Linked DNA regions of Coturnix japonica. The protein of the gene in region 2 interacts with the protein of the main gene of each other region in a pairwise test. Links are inferred from orthologs where the notes say so. Each region holds a gene or a part of one and is shown on either strand. Other genes may lie near its edges.

Region 1 (6,131 bases), on a different chromosome or scaffold from region 2:
CCCCGAGTGCCACCGTTGATGCCCGCTCCGGACCGGCCGCTACCGCCTCCTTCCCCAAAGCGCTGTCACCCCGCGCCCGTGCTTGCTCCGTCCCCGCGGGAGCCTTTTATGTGCTAATGAAACACATTGCACGCCTCGCTTCACAACGTGTGTGTCCTTGCCGTATAGAGACAGACAGATTGCTGCCTGGATCCCCGGTTTGTTTTTGGGAGGGTTTTTTTTTTCATTGTTTTTTCTTTCTTTTTTTTTTTTTCCCTCGTTCACCTCCCCCTTTCCCTGTTCCCTTTTCTCTACCCGTGGACAAAGCGGAATTTTAAGAAGGATTTGAATGTTATTTAGGAAAGTAACATCTCCGACGGCTGTAAATGCGTGGGAAAAACAACAAGTGGTTGTGAAAACGGGCACGGAAAGAGGGGAAGAAATGACAGCACCGCTCTCGGATAGGTGCCGCTGCCCGGGCGGTGGGGCTGCGAGCGGACGGGAGGGCTTTAGGGCAGAAAGAAGCAGCGCTTCTTTGGACGTACCGCTCCCGGCAGGGCCGTCCTCCCGACCCTCATCGTTAACACCGTTCAGACTACTCTCTTTTAGCGGCCCCAGACGTGCGCTTTGGTCCCCGACGGCAGAGCAAGCGCGGCCGCGCATCCCGCTGCCCATGGTTTAATCTCAAAGCGTACACCCCTCCCGGGACGGCTTTTCATCGTTGACCCCCCCCCGAGTCCCCCCCCCCCGAGCTGGGTGCGCTTCGGCCAGTCCTTCCGAGGGCAGAAAAGGGGCCGGGAGAGGCACGGCCGCACCGTCGGGGCCGCACGGCCGGGGAGAGGAGGGCGAATCCCGGCAGAACAGAGATGCAGGGGGAAAAAAACCGCCAATAACACTTTAATAGAGTTCTGTGGCAACCTGGCTAGTCGCTACCAGTATACACATTTATAAGCCATAAATAAAGCATACAGAAACGATAAATTAATCAGATCCAAGTAGTTTACTCTCCCGGTAACATCAAGCGTTTGTTTCAATTACAACAATCTATCCTGACTTGGTTTGTTGTATTTTTTTTTTCCTTTTTTTCTTTCTTTTTTTTTTTTTTTTCCCCTTCCCCTTTGTACAATTTTACAAGGCTTCCCATCCTCAGATCCCAAACTCGTATTGGGTTTCCCACCGAACGAGGGCTTCATTTTCTTTGCGTCCGTTTTTGTCTGCTTGGGGTTTGGTTATTTCTTTTTCCTCCCCTTTTCCTCATCACTTCCACACCAAAAAAATAGATATATTTCCACCTCCTTGCAACGACGACAACGAAAAAAATAAGAAACCAGCCCCAAGAGGAAAAACCCCTCTCCCTTACACCCCCCTCCCACCAAACCGAACCACCCCGCAAGGCAAACCGAGGGGACTGCAGGGTTAGGGTTAGGGGTGGCACGCGAGGTGCGCCCACTGCTCCCCAAGTGGATGCAACCACCTGGAGCCAGCAAGGAACAAAACAAAAGTAGATAGATAGCTATATGGGTAGGTACCGTGCTCAGCAGCGCTCACAGTCCATCGCGCTGCTAGGGGGATCGCGCGGGGTGAGGGGGTTTTTCCCCCTTTGCCTTTAGGAGGAGTTCATGATGGGCCGGGAATACACACCTTGGTAGTAAGAAGTCTCTCCGGCCAAAGGGGAGGACTCCAATGGGTTTTTGTTCGTTACCGGCCCCATGGCCAGGCTGGCGGGCACGGGTGAGGCGTAGCCCGAGTAGTGCATCACCTGCTCGTAGGCCTTGAGGTCCATTTTGTGCGAGGGGTGGTGGTGGTGGTGAGGGTGGTGGTGGTGCTGCTGCTCGGAGGACGACATCAGGTTGTTGATGGAGAACGGGTGGTTGAAGGCGTAGTGGTGCTCGGGCTTGAGGTGGGCGTCATGAGGAAGCCCGGCGTGTGGCGGGGCCAGCAGGTGCTGTGCTGGAGAGGCCGCTGATGGCTCCCCGGGGCTCGGCCCTGCCGCCGCACCCTTCAGCTCGGCCAGGGCGCGCTTGTGGTCCCGGCACGGTGAGGCGCTCGCTGGTGACTCAGCACCCGCTGAGCCCTCGGAGCCCCCCGAGGAGCTGCCCTCCCCTAGGGGTTGGCTGGGGGGCTGCCCCGGCCCCTTCTTGCCCCCACCGCCGTCCTTGGTCGCCAGCTGCTTCTCACACTTGAAGCGTTTCTGGCGCCGCAGGTAGCAGCCGTTTTCAAACATGTTGCCCGAGTCGGGGTGCAGCGTCCAGAAGGAGCCTTTGCCTGGCTTATCTGGGGAGCGGGGCACCTTGAGGAAGCAGTCGTTGAAGGAAAGTGAGTGGCGGATGCTGTTCTGCCAGCGCTGTTGGTTCTGGCGGTAGAAGGGGAAGAGGTCCATGATCCACTGGTAGATCTCGCTCAGGGTCAGCATCTTGTTGGGTGACTGCTGGATGGCCATGGTGATGAGCGAGATGTAGGAGTAAGGGGGCTTGGCGTGAGTGTAGCTCCGCCGGTACGTCTTGGGGTCCCGCGAGCGGTTGAGGTTGGATTGCCCATAGATGGGGCTCATAGAATTCATGTTGGTGTAAGGGGCCAGGGCGTTCATAGAGCCCGCTTGGCCTCCCATGGGGCTCATGCTGGGGCTCAGGTGGGCACCCATCCCTGCCACGCCAGCCGAGCCCATGCCGGCCATGGCCCCCGCACCTGGGGACATGCCGGCGAGTGAAGGGCTCATGCCCGTGTTGGCGTAGGACATGTTCATGGAGGTGGCTGCTGTCATGTTGGCTGTGGTGCTCATGGCCGACATGGTCATGTAGGTGTTCATGGTGTTCATGGAGCCCAGCCCCGAGTTCATGTTGCTCACCGAGGAGTAGCTCTGCATAGACAAACGAGAAAGATAAGGGAGATTTGGGGGGATTGGAAATGAAAGCAGTTCCCAAGTAAGGCACCCCCAGCCCAGCCCAAGGGAGTTCCTGAAGCTCTGGAGCTGCGGGGTGGGAAGGGTTAAACCCCCGGGGGGCATCGGCGGGAGATGGGGGGTGTTGAATCGCTCATTAACGGAAAAAAAAAAAAAAAGAAAGAAAAAAGAAAAAAAAAAAAAAGAAAAAAAAACCGAAAGAAAGAAAAGAAAGAAAGAAAAAAGCCCAAATTTAGATATTGAAAAAGTCGGGATCTCACCGAGCTCAGAGGATCCAAGCTGGAGGAAAAGAGACAATCCCGAGCAAAGAGAGAAAAATACCTCGGGTGGGGGGTGGGGGGGAGGGTAGGGGGAAAGGAAAAAACGCGACTCGCTGCCCGGCAGCCCCGCTCTCTCCCGGGGGCTGGGGGGGGCGGCCCCGCTGCCCCCGTCGCCCCCGCTGTCCCCCAGCCGCAGTTCAGCGCCTCGAGAATATTTAGCGACAAAGTTGAGGTTTCCCCCCAGTATCCCGGCGCGGGGATCGGGCCGCCCGGCTTCCAACACCCCCCCCACCCCCTTACCTCGGGCTCCCCGTAGTAGTTGCTCCAGTCCGTGTGCTCATGGCCTTCCATTTTCACCGCTCCCAGCATACTGGAAGTGGAGTGCATGGCAGTTTAAAATTTAACAGACACAACAAACGACGACGCAGAGAGAGAGAGAGAGCAATCCCCCCCCCCAAAAAAAAAAAAAAATCGCCAGCCCTCCCTCCCCTCTGCCGCGCTCCCTCCGTCGGAGCCGCTGGAGGAGGAGGAAGAGGAGGGAGGGAGGAAGGGAGGGGGCACCGCCGGGGCCGGGGTTTTTTTTCGCCGCCGCTCCTTGGGTGGGTTTCCGCAGAGCTTCGCGGTGAAGAGTCGCCCGGAGGCGATGGAGGAGCCGGAGGAGGAGGAGGAGGAGGAGGAGGAGGAGGAGGGAGGAGGGAGGAGGGAGGAAGAAGAGGAGGAGGGAGGAAGAGGAGTACAAGTGCTGCAGTGACGTGGGTGCCCGAGTGATATAGCACGGAGCGGCCAGGCGAGCCTCCAATCCCCAGGTCCTCGGCTGCCCATTTGAATAATCAGCTCACACCTAGGCGGGAGCGGCTGCTCCGCGGCTCCCGACCCGCACCCCGGAGCGACTCCCGGAACCACCCCGCGTCTCCCCCCGCACCCCCCCTCAACAGGAGGGCTCCTACGGGACCCCCATTCCAGCCGCACTCCGATGGAAGGTGTCCCCTCGCAAAGCCCAAACAGAGCGGTGCCCCGATCCCCCTCCGACGGCCGCAGCCCCCCGAGCCACACTCACCTTTCTCCCCGCGGCTGCTCAGCCTCAGGCCACCTTCCTCCCGGCCGTGGCCCGGCTCTGCCTCATGCCTTCCCGCGGCTCTGCCTCAGGTACCTACAACAATTTCGTAACTAAAACAAACAGGAAGGGCAGGGGAAGGCGGGAGCTGGGAGAGGGGAGCGCGGCGGGGCCGGGCTCAGCGCCGTCGGGGAACACGCAGCCAGAGCGGGGCCCGATGGGCGCCGTCGGGGAAGCGTCGCTCCGCACCCACGGACGGATCCACGGACGCTGCTCGAGTGTAGCCGTCGGGGAGCGGCTGCCTCCGTCCCTCCCTCCTTCCTTCTCTCCTTCCCTCCTTCCAGGGAGGAAGCGCAGCCCCCTGGGGTGTCCGACACCTCCCGGCCCCGCAGTGTTGCCTCCCCCCCCGCCCAGTGGGGGACACGGAGCTGCCGCCCTCCCCGTGCCGTGCGCCCTGTACCTACCTGCCCGGGCGCCAGGCGGGGCGGCGCGGCACCGACCTTTTCCCTCGGTTATTTATTTGGGTTCTCTCCCGGCATTAACCCCAGCACAGCTTGGCGAGGTTAACGGGAGCTTTTAAACATTAACACAAACCCAACAGCCGGGGGGCTTCGCCGGAGGGCTTTTCCCTTCGCCCCAACGCCTTCGGGAGCCGTCTCCAAACGAAACTGGCTCCTATCGCGATAGCTGCGGGGATAGAAGCAGCCCGCCTCCTCCCGCCCATATTTAGGGGAGATGAGGGCTGGCTGGAGGAGAAGGGAGAGACCCCAGGGGAGCTGCCCTCAGGGCGGGGACGCGCCGGGAAAAGGGGGATTTGCCCCCAAAAAAGGGGGGGTGGGGTGGAGGGGTGGGAGGCCGGGCAGGGCTGTCCCGAGGTCTAAGAGCGGTGGCGCGGCGCCCCCTGTCGCCTGCTGTCCCCGGTACCGGAGGGCCGGGGGTGGAGGGGCACCCCGCCTGTCCCCCGCCTGTACCCGGGGGTCCCCCCGACGGCGGAGGTCACCCTCCAGTGCATCACTTGGGAGCATCACCAGCGATCATATGTGATGGGTAAGGCCGAGTCTTCCCGCTGTACCAGCACCGTGTGGTCCTAAATGTGAGCCCCGTTGGCATCCCGTGGGGTCTTCCACATCCCATCCCTTATTTCACTAGTCAAACTGTGATGCCGCTACCCTTGGGCAGCCCAATAAAATCAACACCTTAAGAGAAGAGGGAAGGAAGCAGTGAAGAAGATAGTCTTGCCTTGTAGAGAAACATCTTTTTAAATACCCCAGATGATCGAAATTGAAAATGTTCAGCCTCTTCTTGTTTAAACAGACCCACTTGGGCTCCAGAGAAATGCGGCGGCCATTTAAAAAATGACTTCTTCTCTTTAATATTTAAGTAATATTTATTTTAAATTTAATTTTTAAATTACGTTTCTATTTGCATTGGGAGCCATGCCTGGAAGAGCTGGTGTTCCCTTCCTGGAGGCAAGAGACAGTGGCTGGGCCACCATGGGCAGTATCTGCCACCATTCTGGGCCACCTCCACTGCTGGTGACAAGCACATCTCCTGCTCTTCTTGCTGGGTGAAGGCATTTATCTGCAAAGGAGAATAAAAAATCACCCCCCTTTCACCTCTCCCTATTACAACTGTACCTTATTCTTGACAACAAACAGAGTAATTATCTCTCTTCTACTGATAATTATCATAATTAATCCAATATAATGAACTCTCCCAATTGCCCTGTTGTTTCAAACTAAATGCGTCCGTTGTTTTTTCCCCTGTAGCTGAGGAACTGCAAGACAGGAGCACTCAATGCCCACAGAAGCATTTTAATAACAGGATGGAGAAGGAGCTCACATCACGTCTGTGGATGGTGGCATTTTCCCCCATGAGATCCCTGGAAGTAACCAAAGGACTCTGTGGGGCTGAGGGCATCTCAAGTAGCTCACACTCA
Region 2 (5,450 bases):
AAAAATAAAAAATAAAAATCTCATTGGAACATGCAGACACTGTGTCCCTTGGAATTTTTCTTCACAGACACAAGACATCAGTATTCTCTGTAAATACTGCAGTTGCTACCAAAGCGTTAAAAAGTTACTTACGGCTTTCCCCCAGGAATCCCTGCAATATTTGGTGGGATTCCAGGTACTCTCATGTGAGGAGGAGGATCGAACCCAACCTGACAATGGAAAACAAGTTAAAAATCACACTTGAAATTTCTCATTCAGTGAACACTACTTCTCCCCAAGATACACATTTAACCAAAACCCACCTTTTACCTACAGTAATAGCTAAGTGAGTAGGGATGGACAAAACAAGACGTTCTCTCCCAACATGCTTCTGCTAGAAGTACTTATATTCCAAGAGAAAACCATGAACCTATGAAGTACCCATATTCACAACACTAAGCATCACATACACAGACAGGCATGTTAGCGTGAAGCATGCCCTGGAGCTGAAGAGTCCACAAGCTGCATGCAGCCACACTCTGTATCTGCTGGCAGCAATCACTGACCTATGCAGTCACAGTGCATGGCTCAGAAGCAGCTTCAGGCTCCCACCAGTAGCTCTGCTGGCTTTGTGCTGTATGGGTACATCAGCTAGGAGATGTCTGAGAGAGTTACACTGCAGGGTACTCACAGATTTGTCTACGGCTTAAAAACACTACTTCACAGGCTCTTTTTATATGCTGCAATTCCACTAAACTGTTACGTCCAGAATGAATATGAAGACCAAATAAACCAGAGAGAAACTCTGAACCAAACACGCTTCTTCCATTTGAATGCTATACTCAAGAGAAAATTCTTACTTTAAGAAGTGCATATGCAGTTCAGGATTTCCACATTTTCATGTAACAATTTTTCCAGTTTAAGAAAGTAGTCCCATCTACAGAACATAACAAGCTTAAGACCAATCTTGCAAACTCACAAGTGGATAGGTCTGTGCACATATTTGTGGGATCAGGCTCCCAGGTTGTTCTGATCAATAGCAGCAATGACAGCTATGCTGCATTTAGTGACTACATCCACAACAGCAACTACTTGTAACACACCTTATCACAGAGCTTTAAGATTCTTCATGATAATTTACTCAAAAAGAACACAATACAAGGAGAGAGAAGTAGATTAAAAAAAAGACTTTTACACACTTTGAAATTAATTTGGTGTGTCTGTACAGATCACAAATCTTGTACAGCAAAAGAAAAGCAGATGTTCACAGCACCAGTGAAGACATTTGTATCTATTGAAACTGTTTTTTTCATTTAAAGAATAAGAAAACAGTTTGGCATTTATTAATTAGACAAAGCACTGATGAGAAAAAAAGAAACATACACCAGTACACTGAGATTCTTTGTTCTCAAGGTAGAAATTTGTTTCTCCATCCACAAAGTAAAGTGAAACACACAGTGAAGCAGCCAAGCCTCTGGCGCTGTTATAACTTGGGAATTCAACTGTGCTAAATGAAGCATGTAGCTTTCTTTAGTGACCTGCAACTCACACAACTGAGATTGCATGCAATATGTGGCCTACCATAGGAGATCTTCCATAGGCAACCACGGCAGCTGCTGCGGCAGCCGCACTCATCTGGGGTGACATGTTGTGCAGGCTGGCGTATGCTGCCCCTGGACTGGTTAGTTCTCCATTCATGCCAGCATGAGGCACCATTCCAAATGGAGCAGGGTATGGCCCTTGTACAGCCAAAGGTGTGCGCAAACCTGCAGCTGTGGAACAATGAAAGCAAGTAGTTTTATTGGATCTCCCTGCACACAGGGCAAAAGACCTTTTATTTCAGCTTATAGTACATAACCTTCCCCTTACAAACATGCACACACAGAGCTAAGAAACATTCCCATAATTTATCACTAGTACCACCTCTTTTCAATCACTGTAAATAAGCTTTACTGAGATCTGAATTCAGTGATTACTTCTAACAACCTCTTCTAGCATTGCCCATTTCCATTTCTGTAATATTTCCCTGTTTACATTAATCTCTCCTTTGCCAAATTAAGCACTAAAGCTGACAGACATGGTTTACATAGCTCATGTCTGAAGGAACTCTGCTGTACCAGCCTGAATAGCAAAAGTAAACTTCCCTCTGCATTTGTCAAGATTTACACTGCAGCAAATATTAGTAGATTCAAACAAAGAGCTGGAAAAGCAATTGCATTCAGACTAAGTACTAGAAGCTTCTCAGAAATCTTTCACTACATGCAGTCTCCAGACTATTTCCAAAAAGATAAAGAACAAAGTAAACAAAGAATAACGAAAGATAGAAAGACATTCAAACTCTTGATAATCCAGACATCTGCATTTCATCAGGTCCTCTCTTCGCATCAAGAAAAAAGCTCTTGGTTAACATTTGCATGGAAATGCATATTTAAATAAGATACTAATCTTAGAATCATAAAAACTTGAGAGGTAATGCATTACCAGCCTGGTTAACCAGAGGGTCCATTGTTGGAGGCTTGCCAAGGCCTGGACGAAGTCCTGGAGTTGCACTAGTGCCTGGAGTTGGCACATCACTTCGAGGAGTCGGTGTGCTAGATTTCAGAACAGGCGTGCTGGCTTTTTCATGCTAGTATCATAAAACAAAATAAATTAGTATTATTTTTAATCCAAGCCATATTACGCAATTTATCACAACAGCAGCTGGGATGCTGGGCACCTACTACCTAGTCCCTCAGCCAATTTTCATAAATCCATGCAATGCTGACAACATTAACTTGCGAAGAAAAAAAATGCTGACCTTTTGATTTCTGCCAGAAATAGGGATGAACAAAAAAAAAAAAGAAAGCTAAGACACGTTATTTCTTTCTTCCACTGACAAAAAAAAAAAAAAAAAAGAGAGAGATTTTATTTTTTTTCAGGACAGCACAGTATGCATCACCACTTTATTTTAGTGAGAAATCATGATTACTGGACACCGTGAATCAAAGAATCAAAATACAGTGACATAAAATCTTATCAAGTTAGTTATTCCTTGAAAAATTTATCAGCAGCAGTTCATTTAGAAGAATTTAATAAAAGCCTGGCGAACATCTTGGTGACTACATTCAGATCTATTAAAAAACAATAATGTTTTTAAGTTAATCTTATGTTTTCTAATAAATTCACAGCTTATTTGATAGAAATGCGGGAGATACAGGAAATCATCCTGAAGAAGAAATTATTCCTGAGGAAAAAAGCTCAATGGTACTGGAGTGGTGTAGAAGAACAGTACTTCAGATTCTTCAACCCGTACACTTTCTGTAAAAAAGCAGTTGCTGAAGAATGGAGAGTTAGACCTTGAAGGAAAAAGAACATTTCCTAGAGAACAGGCTGCTTATAATACTCACCAAACTCATTTCTTTGGATTTGAGAGAAGTGGAACTTCCTGAAGAGGCTGTAGATGCTGGACTGCTAGAAGCATCTTTCTTCAGCAAGCGGCTTTTATCTATACCATTTTCACGTGGTGAATGAGTAGGACTTGCCCGTGGAGATGAAGGATCCTAAAAGAATGGAAAGGACAAGCAGCAAAGAACCGTTAAGAGCTGGTACTCAACACAAACTAAATCAGTCTGGGAAAAAAAAACCCAAGAACTCAAACAGTATATCAGAATGAAGCAGTAGTTTGCTTTCCATATCTACAGAAACAAACAAAAAAAGCCCTTAATTCCTTTCATCAATTATAGACATAAGTAAGTGCAATCTGGACTCATTCTACACTACATAAACCATAAACACATATCATAAATTGATTCCAAGTGCAGAACTTGCCTTAGTTTGTACTTAGGTTTACACAGATCACAGGCATACATTACAACTGATATGAAAAGACCTACAATAATTGCAATGAGCTGGTACTCCTTCTGCATGTGTTCTTTATGTGCTGCTAGTGAAAATGATCATTTCAATAGGAATACATTCATTTAATTTCATTTTTTAGGGAATACACACCTTGCTCATCTCTTTCTTCAGAAAACAAGAGAGATGCAGATTTTACATAAAAGTATATAAATTATATCTATAGAGTTTATCCTAAATTGCATTACTTCACTACTTAAATCTACATAAAAACTGCAATGATCTCTCAAGTGATTTTCCCTCTGTCTTACAGAGGCACTTTCTGCATTTAGTCTATTCAAAAACAGGCTGCCCAGCAAGCTACCATCAGCTCTGTAGGTTCTTCAAGGTCCTCTGGTTCATCAGCATAGCAGCAGGAATTAAGCAGTCCACACTAGAAGGCAATCAGTCCACTGGCTGATCACTGAGCAGTTTCATTTTAACCAGGACTTCTGAAATGACTGCTGAAATTATTAACAGGATACACATTTTTCTACCTGGATGAAATCATTTGAACTTTTGGAGCTACTCTAGACATTCCCTCCAGTATTTTTTCCTGTGCTTTTCACAGTGTAGAAATTTTTCCAGCATGGTCAGGAATACATATTTTTGTTGTGTGAAATAAAAGACAAAGGAATGGAAAAAGACAGTTCCTGACTGCACAGCCAAATCTCAGTCTTGGAGGAAAAAAACAAACAAACAAAAACCAAAGTGGCTACTGCCACTAGGAAATGCTGCAGACTGATTTCATTCTGATTTTCACTGAATTTATCCTAATATGCCTGTATGGAAAACACTGCTTTCAGAGTAAGCAGTCAAAATACCAGTGATTTTGGGGGGGTTTCAATGCCATTCCTACTATTAAATATTAGAATACTTATTCTTTTCCATTTTCCCTTGAAGACAGCAGTTTGCAAACTTCAGCCACCTGCATTTCACCACAATTTTCTCCCCTACAGAACAGCTGTGAAATGTTAGAAAATAACTGCAGAGAGAAGAGACCTAGATAAAGCAGGGGAAGGAAGAGCTAGGAGCACAGACAGGTAAAGCTAGGAGGAAGACATAGTGAATAACGAAACTAACAGAAAGGACGACTGTTCCATATTTTTACTATATTCCACTGTTTTTTGGCTGTTCATTTTTTAATCTAAAAGCATTTTTTCTTCAGCATTTGTGTCAATATTAAAACAATAATAATTTTTTAAAAAGTTACCTCATTGGATACATCAACAACCAAGTTATCATCACTCTTGTCCCCATCACTGTCCTATCAAAACGAAATAAATAATTCAATTAGTACATTAAGAGTTAAGAAGGGGAAGAGAGAACAAGAAAGAGGTGTTATCTACTCCAGTATTTTTTGCTTTTAATAGAGAAAAACAAACAGACTTTCATTACTTATTGGCATTACAGCAAATACCGAAAATAGGAATGTAACACTTTTGCTTCAGTAATAAAATCTAAATAAAGTAGAACTATTTGAATGGTGGTGGTCTCATTGTAAGTGCAAGAGGATCCAAAACTCTCCTCTACTACTATAATTACTCCAAAATAAATAAATAAATAGATAAATAAAAGAAGAAACTCATTCACGTGCT

The links. The genes of interacting proteins can lie anywhere in the genome.
Region 1: the proteins of TLE1 (region 2) and FOXA2 interact in a two-hybrid assay, tested with the Homo sapiens proteins (2 studies listed by BioGRID and IntAct). The link is inferred for Coturnix japonica from reciprocal best matches to the Homo sapiens genes TLE1 and FOXA2.

The regions. Positions count from the first base shown.
Region 1 is NC_029518.1:4,399,785-4,405,915, forward strand, and holds FOXA2 (hepatocyte nuclear factor 3-beta), read right to left. Parts: upstream 4,016-6,131; 5' UTR 3,526-4,015; coding exon 3,439-3,525; intron 2,837-3,438; coding exon 1,586-2,836; 3' UTR 856-1,585; downstream 1-855. UniProt on the Homo sapiens protein: Transcription factor that is involved in embryonic development, establishment of tissue-specific gene expression and regulation of gene expression in differentiated tissues.
Region 2 is NC_029547.1:35,436,843-35,442,292, forward strand, and holds part of TLE1 (transducin-like enhancer protein 1), read right to left. Parts: intron 5,120-5,450; coding exon 5,066-5,119; intron 3,519-5,065; coding exon 3,366-3,518; intron 2,606-3,365; coding exon 2,461-2,605; intron 1,752-2,460; coding exon 1,561-1,751; intron 210-1,560; coding exon 133-209; intron 1-132. UniProt on the Homo sapiens protein: Transcriptional corepressor that binds to a number of transcription factors. Inhibits NF-kappa-B-regulated gene expression. Inhibits the transcriptional activation mediated by FOXA2, and by CTNNB1 and TCF family members in Wnt signaling.